Linked DNA regions of Cricetulus griseus. The protein of the gene in region 3 purifies or fractionates together with the protein of the main gene of each other region. This does not show direct contact. Links are inferred from orthologs where the notes say so. Each region holds a gene or a part of one and is shown on either strand. Other genes may lie near its edges. The genes, in order: Qser1, Foxj2, melanoma-associated antigen 10 and Fam216a.

Evidence for each region.
Region 1: the proteins of melanoma-associated antigen 10 (region 3) and Qser1 purify together in Homo sapiens (affinity purification with mass spectrometry; 3 studies listed by BioGRID and IntAct, counting the BioPlex papers as one, with this or other methods). This does not show direct contact. The link is inferred for Cricetulus griseus from reciprocal best matches to the Homo sapiens genes MAGEA10 and QSER1.
Region 2: the proteins of melanoma-associated antigen 10 (region 3) and Foxj2 purify together in Homo sapiens (affinity purification with mass spectrometry; 3 studies listed by BioGRID and IntAct, counting the BioPlex papers as one, with this or other methods). This does not show direct contact. The link is inferred for Cricetulus griseus from reciprocal best matches to the Homo sapiens genes MAGEA10 and FOXJ2.
Region 4: the proteins of melanoma-associated antigen 10 (region 3) and Fam216a purify together in Homo sapiens (affinity purification with mass spectrometry; 3 studies listed by BioGRID and IntAct, counting the BioPlex papers as one, with this or other methods). This does not show direct contact. The link is inferred for Cricetulus griseus from reciprocal best matches to the Homo sapiens genes MAGEA10 and FAM216A.

What each region holds. Positions count from the first base shown.
Region 1 is NC_048599.1:72,904,979-72,908,544, forward strand, and holds part of Qser1 (glutamine and serine-rich protein 1), read left to right. Parts: intron 1-887; coding exon 888-1,040; intron 1,041-1,861; exon of another isoform or gene 1,862-1,990; intron 1,991-3,276; coding exon 3,277-3,372; intron 3,373-3,566. UniProt on the Homo sapiens protein: Plays an essential role in the protection and maintenance of transcriptional and developmental programs.
Region 2 is NC_048601.1:22,239,719-22,244,031, forward strand, and holds the start of Foxj2 (forkhead box protein J2), read left to right. Parts: upstream 1-1,485; 5' UTR 1,486-2,499; intron 2,500-2,658; 5' UTR 2,659-2,759; intron 2,760-3,039; 5' UTR 3,040-3,114; intron 3,115-4,313.
Region 3 is NC_048604.1:3,529,577-3,532,316, forward strand, and holds melanoma-associated antigen 10, read right to left. Parts: upstream 1,539-2,740; coding exon 537-1,538; downstream 1-536. UniProt on the Homo sapiens protein: Not known, though may play a role in embryonal development and tumor transformation or aspects of tumor progression.
Region 4 is NC_048597.1:102,210,127-102,214,143, forward strand, and holds the start of Fam216a (protein FAM216A), read right to left. Parts: upstream 2,843-4,017; 5' UTR 2,566-2,842; coding exon 2,501-2,565; intron 2,134-2,500; exon of another isoform or gene 2,049-2,133; coding exon of another isoform or gene 2,011-2,048; intron 1,037-2,010; coding exon 978-1,036; intron 1-977. Other genes in the region: Gpn3 (GPN-loop GTPase 3), read left to right, coding at 3,326-3,373.

The DNA.
Region 1 (3,566 bases), on a different chromosome or scaffold from region 3:
GACCTAAGAAAAGATTTTGTTTGTTCTTTAAATATACTCTTTTCAGGTTCACAATACCTGTTTATAGAAACTGAGAACAGTGAAAGTTAAATTACATTCTGACCCATAAGTGTAACAGCAGCACTTTTAACCCTTAATGCATAATAATTCTTGCTGCTGCTAACTAAATCTAATTTTAAAAAGCTGTAATCAGAGTCATTATAGTTGTCTTCAGGAATCATTGTGCTATTGTGTGCAGCTTCTCAGTTCACAATGCCTTTCTAAGCAGGTAAGGGCATAAAAGTCAGTGGGTTTTGAAGACTAGACTGGGAATGCATCTGCCATGTGGCTACTGTGTCATCAGTAGCAGCTCCTTTTTTTGGTCAGAACCATCAAACTCTGCTTCAGGATTTTTTTTTTTTTTTTTTTTTTTTTTTTTTTTTTTTTTTTTTTTTTTTTTTTTTTTTTTTTCTGTGCAGTCCAAGGAAGCCAAAGGAGTGCTGCAGAAAACAACAATTCTTCTTACTATCTTTTGTCCCCATCTTCATTTAGAGTCTGATGACCTCCCTGTAGCTGGTTTACCTCTGGTTCAGGGTATTAGTAAGGGTGGGAGAGGTATTTTAAGAAATGCATATATCCCTATTTTCCCTATTTTGAAATCAAAGGGACATTTCTAGTAATAACTTAGGATTCCTTCCGTGTGGAATGCTCAATAAATCAGGCCAGATTCAAAGAATGGGAAACATAACCCGCACTCTGTGGGAGAAGGTTCAAAGATTTCTAACTACATCCCATTGTGACCATCTGCATGCGTGCATGCGTGCGTGCATATTTGTGTGTATATAAATTTTGAATGGCTGGAAATTCCAGTTTTCTGATGTCAGTTGTTATCCTTCATTATTTTAAAGAATGCTTTGGAAAGTTTTCCTGAACTAACAATTATTACTCGAGACTCTAAAGCAAAAAGTGGAGGATCTGCTATTTCTAAAATAAAAATGAATGGCAAAACTTATAATAAGAAAACTCTAAGGACTTCTAAAACAACCACTAAGTCTGCACAGGTAAGTACATATTGCTTAATGAATGTAAACCTTTTCCAGTTAACACAGCTCCCAAGACACCATTGAAATAAGCCTATTGTAATCGTGAAGTGTCATCTTTGGGGTGGAATAAGCAGCTGTGCTCTGAGGATGGGACATTCTTGTTATTTCTTCTATGTATGCATTGAACTGTACCTGGTAATAGTGAGTGCACACTGAATATATAAAATAAACTAATAAGGGAATCATCCGATGTTTAAGTTTATACATTTGCATATAGTTTTAAAACTTTTTAATTCATTAAAAATATTTATGTGTCGCCAGGGGTGGTGGTGAACGCCTTTAATCCCAGCACTCAGGAGGCAGAGCCAGGCAGGGGCAACAAAGTGAGTTCCAGGACTATTACACAGAGAAAACCTGTCTGGGGGTGGGGGAGGTGTTCTGTGTGACATGTTTTGGAGCATATTGTGGTAAAACGAGAAAATTCATCATTTTGTACCTGTTCAAAGTTACCTGTACATGGTTTAGAAACACATGTTTTAGTGTGTGTAAACACTAAATCATAAGATTGAATATTGATATATCTGTAAAGTCACTAAAATGACATCTGTTTATGTCTACAATATACTACACACTTTTCAGAAAATAGTTCTGCATTATAACAGTTTCACATCAAAAAATGTATTCAGTAATTCAGACCTGATGGTGCATACCTGATTCCTAGCACTTGGCAGGTGGGAGGCAGAAGGATCAGAAGTTTGAGGACAACCTGGGTTATATGAGACCCTATCTCAAAGAAAAAGGGTATTTTCTGTAGAAATACATTCATGAACACAAAGAGTTTCCACAGCTACTGGTCTGCAACTGTTCTTACAGTAGCAGTTGTAGCATTCCTCTGTGGGAAAGAAACTTACACAATTTAATTCCTCTTTCTTACCAGACAGAAAGAAGAATATGCGTGACAGACACAAAGTTAAAACACACACACACACACACACACACACACACACACACACACACACTATATATAGTTATTGCAAAGTAGTTTACAAGAACCAGTTTGCAGTGTCATACACCTTTAATCCCAGAGAGAGGCAATGGAAATGCTGTGAGTTCTAAGACAGCCAGGACCCTGTCTTCAAAACAAAACAAAACTGGTATGTTTGTTGGTTTGGGGGTGGTTTTTTGTTTTTTTACTTGCTGTATAAACCAGGCTGGCTTTAAACTCATAGATGCACCTGCTTCTGGAGTGCTAGGATTAAAATAATATGCATGATGCTTGGTTTAAAAGAAGACCCATTGATTGTCTACCAGACAACTACAGCAAAACACTTTGTATATTTATACTGACAAAAGCAATTCTAAGTAGTAGGGGACTGCAGAGAGGTGGCTTAGCCACACCTATATACATAATCTAAAGTAATAAATAACTAGGGGTACCATAGTAAAAGCTAGCCAAAAATCCATATGTTCCTATATTTTTTATTAGGGGGATAAAGATGGAATGATATACATATAATAAATCCAAAGTTATCCAAGTTGTATGCTGATTAAAAAAATATATGTTGGAACTTTCGTGGAGTGGATGTTGTAGGTCAACTTTTATTGGGTGATTCCTTGTCAGAAAATTAATGTTCCTGTTTTGAAAGAAAGGAAGAAATAAAGAGAAAATTAATGTTACTTAAATATTCAAGCCTAGCCTAGGGGAAGAGCATGAAAGACTATGTAACATGCCACCAGCCACATTTATCTCTGAAGCCATATTAGAATCTGTTAGTCTGCATCTGGAATGCTAGTTCCTGGTTACAATTACATGCAGTACTTGGGAAGCAGATGGCAAGAGGATGAGGGGTTCAAGGCCAGACTCAGCCACATGGGCTCAGTTTTAAGAATGAGGTGCACTAGGGAGGGAGAGGCAGGTGGATCTGAGTCTCAGGCCAGCCAGAGCTGCAGAGTAAGATCCTGCCTCAAAACAAAACAACAACAACAAAAAGGCTTTTATTCTTTTGTTATCTTACATGCTTTTTATTTTGATTTCTCTATAATGCTAGTTTTTCAAGTAACAGGTACTCATAACTTAATAAAAGATTTATCATGATGATTTTAAATATAATTTATATTTAAGCTCCCATGTATATTAATACAGCATCATACCTAGCCATATAAGACATTTTCCAGGTTGTAATTCACTATGGATCTAATATTTTTTAGCTCTAACATTACATGAATGTTACCTGTAAATTTCTTTCTTTTTTAGGAATTTGCTGTTGATCCAGAGAAAATACAATTATATTCATTATACCATTCACTCCATCATTATAAATACCATGTTTATCTAATATGTAAGAATGAGGTAATTCCTTTTATTTATTTAAAATGACATAACATGTTTTTCTGTTTGTGTTTTGGTTTGGTTTTTTTTGTTTATTCAAGACATGTTTTCTTTGTGTAGCCCTGGCTGTTCTGGAACTCACTCTGTAGACCAAGCTGGCATAAGACTCAGAGATCTGCCTGCCTCTGCCTCTGCCTCCTGAGTGCTGGGATTAA
Region 2 (4,313 bases), on a different chromosome or scaffold from region 3:
ACTGAGCTATAACTGTAGCCTCCTCTTTCCTTTTTAAAGACAGGGTCTCATAAGGTAGTCTAGTTGGCCTTGAATTCCAGAGCCTCCCCTGTGATCACAGGGAGTGGCCCATGCTTGAGGAACTGCATCTTTAAACTGGACATTGGAAGCGTGGGGAGGGAAACAGCTTCGTTGGACTTCACTCCTGGCAATTTGAGATTGGCTTATGCTTTCACAGTTCAAGCCAATGATATACTAGGGATTCTGAGGCCATTTGGATTTGACACCTGTCTTAAAATAGTACTACTAATTATGTCATGGTGTGAATTATGTGAACTGGGACACAGACAACATCTTCAAGCCATACTTATATTCTAGAAGGTGCAATAACAGTGCTGTATGGAATTGCTAGAAGAATCAAGCGTGACAACACATGGAGAGTGCAAAGGTTAATGCCTACACATTGCATGTGTAATGTAATTGTATGTACATAGAACTTAACTACGGTAGCATGTATTTAGCCATTTAGCCATGACATTACTATCTAAAGGTAGTTATCAAACTGTAATCTTTTTGAGCAATTCGAGTATCAAATGAATAATTTTTTGCCTTTATCATTTTATGTGAGAACACAGTTGGAGAAGAGTAACTCAGAGGGTTTGTACTTGAAAGGCGTTGACTGGGGGTAGAAGTGGAGATGGGCTGCCCTGGTGGTATTTCCTGCCAGGGGATGGAGATTAATCTGTACCGGAGTAGAGGGATGTGCTGAGAGCATTCCATCCCTCTAGTGGCACTCACAATAAGGTGTTCTATAGAGATGTCACTTGATTTTAGCACAAAGGTCAAAAACGATATTTTAAAAGGCATGTCAAGGGAAAGGGAAATTAATAATCATACTTCCGCACCCCTTGCATACTGTACGGCGTTAAAGAGCGTCTCCACACAAGTCGTTTCCTTTGGTGACTGCGACATCCATATTAGTAGGCAGGCCAGAGTATCCAATTCCCCTCTTGGATGACTGTGACTCCAGAAACAAGGGCCTTGCACAAATTTATGGAGCCAGAACTACCACAAGACACCATCTCCGACGTTTATTTCTCTATGACAAGCTCATCTCTCCTTTTATGCATCTTCTGATCCAAGAAGCAGTCACTGACCTCCAAGATAAGAGTAAACTTTAACTTCACGGCAGTCTCCATAACCCTTTATAAGCTGTCTGGAGGAGAAAGAGAGAAGCCATCAAATACGTTTCTGAGAAAACTGGCAATGCTCGTCTAGGAGGAGACCGCAGCACAATGAGAGATCTGCGTGGCCATTAGCGTGGACACTGGCACCGCTAGTGCCCGGGAGCCGAGGGCCGGCGACCGGCGGGCTGCGGGGATCCGCGCTCCTCCTTAACCCGCGCCGGGAGGCGGTGGCCGCGGCGGCGGGAGGGGGAGGGGCGCGGAGCGCGGCGCCGAGGCCGGGGAGGAGCCGGGGCCTGCAGCGGAGCCGAGCCGAGCCCGAGCCGAGCCCCGACGCGCTCCGTCCGCCTGCCGGCTCCCGGGAACCCCGACCGGCCAGAGCCTCGGTGGTGGCAGCGCGGGGAGCCCCACGCTCGGGGAAGCGCGGCGGACGAGGGACGCGACGGGGGAGGCGCTGCCGCCCGGCAGCGGGTGACGGGAGCCGGGACCGCGGCCTCCGGGACCCTGCTGCCCAGGCCGGCCGGGCGGGAGCGGGAGTGCGTGGACCCCACCCTCGGGGCACCGGGCGCCGGGACCTGCTCCCTCTCCCGTGGGAGGGAGGACTCTCGGCATTCCCGGGACGGCCAGAGGAGATCGCCGCAGGGCGCGCGCTGTCCCTCCCACGCCGGCTCCGGAGGAGACCCCCAGAAGTCGGGAAGGGTCGTGGGACCTGGAGGACCCGGAGTGAGACCGCCCCCACTCCTCAGCGCACTCCAGACAGTTCGGGACTTTGGAGGCAAAGAGAAAAGGGAGCCATGTCTGTGGAGTAGGCACCCAGCACTCACCGCCGAGAGGCGTCCTGACACGCACAAGCCCGGACCCTCCAGGGAACCCGCGGCAATCGGCTCCAGCTTGCTGGAGAGTGGAAGACCTCGTCCCTCAACTTCCGTGCGCCTCAACAGTGGACCCGGGCAGAGCCCCTCCGCTCAGATCTCCAGCAGACAGAAAGAGCCCTCAACCCCTGGAAGATCCAGTTTGGGGGGAGGGGGGTTCCCCCAAAGGGGAGGAGACAACTCCTGGCTGGGAGAGGCTCCTCCCCTCATCCCTAGGGTAGCAGGCAGGGTGTGGGGGGTGTGCCACCTTCCCCAGGTAGGTCCTCCCTCTCCCCCTCCTCCTCCTTCGGCTCCTCTTCCTCGGGGGACTCAGTTCCCCGCTCCGGCTAGGGAGGCTCCGCCAGGCACTGCAAGAGTCACAGAGGATGAGACCTGTCACCTGCCTGTGAAGAGGGGAATCCCTGCAACCTCAAACTTCTGTAGCAGGTGGTTTCCTCCTGTGGCTGGGGGAACCTTAGAGGCAGGTTAGTGCTTTCGTGCATTTTCTCTCTGTGGTCTTTAGGCACCAGTAGGTACGGGGAGCTGAAATGGTGGATCTTGGGGTTCATTCCTGTGGAAGGTAGCGTCCCCTGGGAAATGTGTTCAGATGGCGCTTTTGCATTGGAAGCCGCATGTTGTTGCAGAGACTCAGAGAAACGGGCTTTTTAGATTTCGGAGACCAAAGGGATGGGTCATTTGCTGTCCCTAAGAGAAGTGGATGCTCTGTACTGAGAACAGACAACAGGTGCGTTTTTTCTGGACGCCATGGTTACTGTTAGTAATGCAGGACACAGCACAGCCAGAATCCCACAGCACACTCCATCCCTGGGTCTTGTCCTCTGGTGAGTGGACCTGCTGGAAAGTGATGGGGGCACCTTGTGTCTTGTCTAGGGCATGCTCTAAGTCAGCAGAGCATGCCTAAGTCAGTGTAATGGCCAGCAGAGGTCTTCCTTCCAGTCTAGCACAGTGACTATTTGCCTGACTGTCAATCTGTCCCCACCCACTCTCTCTATCTTGGATACCAGGAGGCCCTTCTGACATCCCTGCTTCAGGCTGGATTTCTGCCATCCAAAGGGAAACGGGAATCCACATGCCCTGAGGTGACTAGGGTAGTGCACACTGGTGGGCGGAAGTCTTCCCAGATACTGGTTGTGTCATTAGCTGACAGTTCCTCAGAAAAATCAGATTGTGGCTAGGAGGCAGAGTGTTTCCTAGGTTCCCTCCACACCTCATCTGCATGAGTTGACCACCAGGGAGGTCTGACCTCTGCAGAATTCTTTTTAGACTTTCCTTCCAGGAAAACATCGACTGGTCTCTTCATCACTCTTCCTGTTCTCTTGCTTAGTTCTGGGTCACAGGAACTTCGTGGTGAAAATTTTCATCCTAATCTTGGGGAATCATCAAAAATCTAGAATCTTTAGAAAAAGCAGGACAAAAGGCACCAAGAAATTTTCCTGGTTGAGCCTAGGCTGTATCTGTAGCGGAGCTCTGAGTTTTCACACGTGGTCACTACCTGCACGCCTTCTCTCTGGTCTGGTCGTTGGACCATGCCTCGTGTTCTGTATGGGGCTTCCTCCCCTTGGATTTTCAGTGTCTGCCTCCCTAGATGGGCCGTGGGCAGACTGCCGGAGTCTCTGTTGGTCCATTGGATCCTGGAGGTTTCTGTAGTGGTGGTGTGTCAAAAAACGGAGTTGTAGTCCACAGGTCCGATGGCTGTGCTGTAGAATGATGTACACGGCTCTCAATGGAGATGGAGATTGTTAGGTGTCTGTGTTTTGAGCATGTACATGGAGATGTTTCCAGAGTGTGCTCTCTGATCCCTTAGAGTCATTTCTGGCAGGCATGTAGAAGCAGGTCACCCTCTGCAAGGACCTAGAAGACGTGAGGGTGCAGATGACCAGCTGCCAGGAAAGCTTAGTGGTCCCCTCCACCGCCAGTGGGAATTCTCATGGCCCCCTCCTGGCAATCATATCTGGCAGCAGGACAGCCCTTTCACAGGTTGGGTCTGTTTCTCTCGGGACTGGTAGGAGAGCTTCATCATGGATACCTCCAGTGCCACTTTACTTTTGTGTCTAGAATTGCCTCTCCCACTTTTGAAAAAGAGATGTCTCTGGCGTAGCAGTGTTTCTTTTTCTTTTCTTTTTTTCTTTTTGGATTTTTTGAGACAGGGTTTCACTGTGGCTTTGGAGCCTATCCTGGCACTCGCTCTGGAGACCAGGCTGGCCTCAAACTCACAGAGATCTGCCTGTCTCTGCCTCCCGAGTGCTGGGATTAAAGGCGTGCGCCACCAATACTGGAG
Region 3 (2,740 bases):
GCTTAATGAAAGTTTGGAGCATTGGAGCCCGTTGACTGTATTTTAAGTTAGAATTTAATTAGTTAACCAGAATAAGAGACTAACAACCAAAAGGTGATAAAAATAACAGTTTTATTCTATTCTGTAAGTTATTTTCCATAGCCTAAGAAATACCAATTGCACTACTATGGTGTTTTGTGACAGATTACAGATTAGATGGAAAGTATCCCAACTTGTTTTACAAAATAACAACACTTTTTAAACATGGATAAACAGCAGTAAGTGCATGACTAATACAACCTGGAAGTTTAAATTTTCAGCCTAACGAGCTTTCTAGCAAACGTAGCAACATTTTAAAGTACCAAGAGGAAAAATCCCTGAGTCACCCAACAGAACAGTAAAAGTGGGATAATTTAACTATACAACCACCAGCTCTAGAATGAGGGTCCACTGCTTAGATCACTGACTTGACCTGACCTTATCTGAGTTGTAAACTGCTAGAGCACTAGAATATGTGCTGGTCAGGGCAGTCATATCATGTGCCAGGCTTTGCTTGCCTAGGCTCGCTCTTCCTCATCTCTTAAAGCCTCTGCATACCACACTGGATATGATCTGGGGTCACTTCCATTGATGTTGGTCAGAAATGTCAGGATTTTCATCTTAGTGGTTTCAGCATAGGCTCGTGGGCCCCAGAGAAACTCATAGGAAGGAGGATGGCTGCCAGATACTTGCCTATACTCCAGGTATCCTTCTTGTACAAAATCATCAGTGATGAGCTTCCTGGGTTCCCCATATATGAAGTGTTCATTCCCAGCATACAAGCCTATGTTATTCAACACACCCCACACCATGTCCTCACTGATACAGTTGCCTTCCATAAATATTATGCTCAGGACCATTATCAGGAGGCCTGTCTTGGGTATGCCCTGGACATCAGTCATCATCCCATCATAGGTGAGCTCTAGGGATGTAACAAGGATATAAGTGTGGCCAGCAGGCTGTACTTCCTTCATGTCAATGCCAAAGACTAACTGCATGCACTCTGAGGCTTCTCTAAATATCAAGGGGAAGTGGTCCTGATAATTTCTAATGATATTACTGAGCATTTCTGCCTTGGTGACTGGCTCCTTCATTAGATACTTAAAGAGCAGATACTTTACCAACTCATCTACTTTTACATCTATCTCACCTTTAGACAATGAAGCAGCACAAGGCATGACCTCTGAGGAACCTGAACCCTCCTCAGGTTCAGAGGCTGCACTGAATTGGCTACATGGAGAGGAGATCATGGCAGTGCAGGAGGAGCATGCTCCTGGAGGACTATGAGAAGGACTTGATGTCCTGGAAGCAACAAACCCTTCCTCTGAGGTGCTGGATGTTAGAGCATAGGAAGAAGAGGAAGAAGAGAAAGACGAGGGGAAAGAGGAGGAGCAAGTAGAAGAGGATGAGGAATCTACTTCCTCTATTGAAACTGGAGCACTCATTAGGTCCTGTGGCTCACTTTGGGCCTCAAGCTCGCCCTCAGCCATACATCGCCTACGCTTGCAAGGTCTAGGCATGATGACTCTAGTCTTGAACACAAGGCAGATGCACAATGATGTAGACCCAGAGACCTAGGGGAAGAAGAAGAAAGTGGAAGTTGTTGCCAGTCACCCAACTGGAAGTGCTCACAAAAGCCAGTAACAGGCTTTCTCTTGTGTGATGCTCTAAAATCACAAGGATTCCCATCTCCCTGTCAAATCTGTCTCTTGAGAGACTGAGGGGGATAGCGACAAGTTTCCTCAGAATGCAACTGGGCCAGAGTAGAGGCTTCAGATTTGCCAGAAGCTTGTATGGGGCTAAGCAGACTGAGACTGCTGTGTTTGTGGTACATATTCACAGTGTGTGCCTCAGCTTTGCCCCAGACCCTGCCTGGGCCTTCCCCAGTGTCTGATCCCAGAAAACCATCTCAAACCAAGACCCTCATATCCCAGTTTCTATGAGAGAGGATGAGGTGCCACACAGCCATAGACTGCAAAGCCCGTACTGGATCCCCATTCCTGACAGGAGCCTGAACTGAACTGTAAAGAGCTACCCCGCTCTTAAGTGTATGGTTCTCTCTGTGCTCACTCTGGATTCTCCCTTGTCTCCTGTCAGGGACTGGAACCCACCCATCTGCTGGTCTGAGGCAAACCCCTAGGCCCTTTTCATCTGTTGACCAGGTGTAAACTCCTGGACCCCACTAATCTGCTGGCCTGAGGCAAACTCCTGGACCCTTCTCATCTGCTAGCCTGAGGCAAACTCCTGGACTCCACCCATCTGCTGGCCTGAGGCAAACCCCTGGGCCTTCTCATCTGTTGACCAGGTGTAAACTCCTGGACCCCACTAATCTGCTGGCCTGAGGCAAACTCCTGGACCCTTCTCACCTGCCAGCCTGAGGCAAACTCCTGGGTCCCACCCATCTGATGGCCTGAGGCAAATCCGTGGGCCCTTCTCTTCTGTGGCAAGGTGTAAACTCCTGGACCCCACCCATCTGCTGGCCTGAGGCAAACTCCTGGACCCTTCTCATCTGTTAGGCTGGGGAAAACTCCTGGACTCCACCCACCCTTCTGTTGGTCTAGGGCAAACTCCTGGACCCCACCCATCTGCTAGTCTGAGGCAAACTCCTGGGACAACTGCTCACCTCTCTGAAATAGAACAGAAGACAGTGAAGGTGCCTTCAACTGATAACAACTATTTAGGGGTGATGGCATAAGGTGTCCAACTTAAATGTGGTCCATGG
Region 4 (4,017 bases), on a different chromosome or scaffold from region 3:
CTCGTCATTCACCTTTATGATTGTTAATTATAGATAACTTACATTGTTAAGTTTAAATCCTCTTTAGACTAAAAGGGGAATTGTAGGGAGAAATCCTGATTAGAGATACTACTGACCACACCTGGCTGGGCTGACTGGTAAGCATTTCTGGGTCCATCCTGCTCAGGTGCAAACCTGGTCACTGGTTCCCTTGCGTGAGTACTTTTCCCCAATAAACTACCATTTACCAGCCTATTTGTGACTCCACTTTGTAAACATCTGTACCCCACCCTTTCCCCTTCCTTATATTAGTAGGAGGTCTTTGGATGCTGATGTTTTTCTCTTATCATCTGAAAAGAGGTATTTTGAAAGTGCTCCCTGTGGCCAGGTGGTGGTGGCGCACACCTTTACTTCCAGTACTCAGGAGGCAGAGGCAGGAGGATCTCTGTGAGTTTGAGACCAGCCTGGTCTACAAGAGCTAGTTCCAAGGACAGCTTCCAAAGCCACAGAGAAACCCTGTCTGGAGAAATAAAAAGCAAACGAAAGTGCTCCCTGTAAAGTAGTCTATAGTTTTTGAAGCTGTTCGTGTAGGATTTCCCCTTCAGTCCATGAGTACATGACAGGTATGCCCAATTTCCAACCAATGCTAATTATAGATTAACAAAAGAGAAAGAACTGGTCTTTGAAACTCTTAAAAAGAGTTTCAAATTTACTGGGGATATTAAATAATTTTTTAGAGCTACAGCTCAGTAGCTGTCTAGCGTGTACAGAGCCCCATGTTCAATCTAGTGAAGTCTGTTTTACATTTGTGTATGTGTGAGGCAGGGAGAGAAAGAGCAAGGGTGATGAAAGTCAGAGAACAGCTCAGAAGAATCAGTTCACTGCTACCCTGTGGGTTCTGGGGGAACTGAACACAGGTGGTCCATCTTGCTAGCCCTTTGAGCCTACTGTTACAACTTCATGTGTAATTAGTGACGTCTGTCATCTACATGCATTACCTGCTTTATGCTGTCCACCAGTGCCTTTGGAATTCTGGTGATAAAAATGTCCAGCTGACCTGTTAGAAAAGAACATCGAAGATAGGATGTACAATGACAGACAGCTTACATGCCCTTTACTTGTCCTGTTGTCATCAGTGTCTTGCAACTTTTCTCCCATTTGGCTACAAGAAGGATGCAGCTAAGCTTTCTCTCAGTGAGCTGTCAGACTTTTATCATACTAAGATAAGAGTGAGTGTGTTTCAAGGGGACAGAACCCAGGACTCACAGAAGTTAGGCGAGTACTCTACTACTGAGCCATACATATCGCCAGTCCCATTTGTACTTTGCTAGAAATGATTTAGTCAAAGTTGGCCTCATTTTCATAGCTTCCTAGTCTAATTGTTACAGCGATACCAAATGAGTAGTTTGGTTCCTGTACTATCCACAGGATATCTTTCTTGTTCTTTAATCATTTCAGTACTGAAAAGAGTAATTATTTTGTGCTGGAACTGTTAAGTTTAACCAGTTATGTTTCCCATCTTGTATCAGTTCTTTTTCCTTTTCTCAAAAAGTTAACTGCTTCCTGCAGTTTCTCAGTAACTGAGTTCATTGAACCAGAACACCTCCAAGCATCGTCAAGAACAAGAAAGAACCTGGCATCACATCTTAAAGAAGTCTTAGCACTATAGTACAATAAAATGTACATATATATGTATATATATACACACATTATAATAATAAACATAAATAAGTATGTATTTCATGGCCGTGGATTTAGCAAGAGCCATGGTTGTGGACCTAACTGGGTCCCCCCCCCCCGCAATAATTCTGCTCCTCTTGGTTTTAAGGAAGCAAGGGGTGCGACAGGGGCATGGCCTCTAGCCGTGACATTACAAGTCTACTGTCCTCACCATCCAGGAAATAGTTAAAACCCGCCTAGTCAGGAGTAATAGTCCACACCAGACATCTATCTCAGCACTCCGAAGTGGAACAGGAGGACGGGTAGTTCAAGGCCAGCCTGAGCTATGGGAGTGTGTCTCAAGAAACCTACCCGTCAAGCAAGTCATGATCAAGGCCTTCCTGGCCCATAGCCCCATCCGATAAAGAGGCGGCCAATGTCGCAGGGACTGGCTTAGTGGCGGGGGTTGTGGGACTAGGGGTTGGGGGTGGGAGTGGGGGCTGGGTCCTCGGCTCCCTACTGGGTTCGCAGGACCCTCTCCGGGGGCGCTGAGAGCGAGAGCAGGTGACAGTGCTGCTGTCCTGCTCCGAGGCCGCCTCGTCAGCCCTTGACCTCGCGGCCTCACCCGCCCCCTCCTCTCTGTCTCTCTCTCTCTCTCTCTCTCTCTCTCTCTCTCTCTCTCTCTCTCTCTGTCTCTCTCTCTGTCTCTCTCTCTCTCTCTCTCTCTCTCTGTCTCTGTCTCTGTCTCTCTCTCTCTCTCTCTCTCTCTCTCTCTCTCTCTCTCTCTCTCTCTCTCTCTCTCTCTCTCTCTCTCTCCCTCTCTCTCTCTCTCGACTCCTCAGCGGGGCTTCCCGGGCCTCACCCGTCGCAGCCTTCGGTCCTGACCAATGCAGGCAGCTCTGCGACCCCGGGACAACGGCTCGGCATCCCGTCGGCACGCGCGCGCCACGCCCGCTGTGAGGCCGCCGCGGCCTCCGGCTCTACCCTCCGACCCTGCCCGAGCGGCTTCGGGACGGTGCCGAAGGCGACCCGAGACCCTGGTGCTAGACCCGGGGGGGAGGAGGACGAGGAGGAGGAGGAGGAGGCCTCAGGTGACCAGGCTTTTACGCCTTGGCAAATCTCCGTGACAGGGACGTGTCAGGGCAAGGCCACACATACACACACACACACATACACACACTCACACACACACACGCACACACATACACTCACGCACGCACACACACTCACACTCACATACACATGCACACGCGTGCGCGTGCTCTCCCTTAAAGCAAAAGGTGTCTCCCACCTCAGTATTCCAGACCCTCGGTGGATCTGCAAGTCTTAGGATGTCACCCTAGGAGTCAAACCCAAGAACCAGGGCACCGGCCTGAAGGAGCTGAGCGTTACTGCGATTCGTTGTCACCTAGGCAACCAGCCTCGCCTGTGGGCCAACTGACAACGGCCCGCAGCTCTCTCTGCGCACGCGTGAAGCCGCGTCTCCACCTCCTCTTTTCCGTCAGGTCACATTTCTCAGAAATTTTGGCTCTTGGGACGCTCCGTAGTCGTAGGCGTAAATACCAGGGACGAAACAGTGATCTGGGTCGCGATTGGCTGGTACCCTTGTCCCCGGAGCTCAGGGGAGCTCGCGCGAAGGCTGAAGGGAGTGTGAGCGCCGGCGGCCGGGGGAAGGCGGAGAGCCGGTATGCCTCGGTATGCGCAGCTAGTTATGGGCCCCGCGGGCAGCGGGAAGGTGAGGCTCGAGGAGCTGCGGTTCGTGGGCGTCGGGGCTCCCGGGAGCCCTGGGTAATTCGCTTCCGCTCTCTGCTTGTTCCTTGTTTTTGTTGGAGGAGTAAAGGCAGCTTTACTAATTACTGGGGGGACAGGAGAGGTGGCTGAGCGCTTAAGATCTTGTGCTCTTCCAGGGAACTGGAGTTCGGGTCCCAGCACACACACAGAGCTGTAACTCCAGCCCCAGGCCTCCACGAACAGTGCATTCACGTGCAGGAACCCACACAACACACTTTGTTTTCTTAGCTTTTTCGAGACAGGGTTTCTCTGTGTATCTTTGGAACGTGTCCTGGAACTCATTCTGTAGACCAGTCTGGCCTCGAACTCACAGAGATCCACCTGCCTCTGCCTCTGCTGGTATTAAAGGCGTTCGCCACAACCGCCCGGCCTGAAAATAATAATATTAATAGGATACTTTTGCTCCAGGAACTGCTCTGGCCGTCCCAAGTGTTTTCATAACCACTCCCTAGCTTAAACCTATACTCATTCTACAGAAAGGATAACTTTTCAAAGTCATACGGTTCTGGCCAGAATTTGAGTCCGTTTTTGACTCATTTCGGTACAGGCCCTCTGTCACACACCCAGAATAGGGTCTTGTTCTTCACT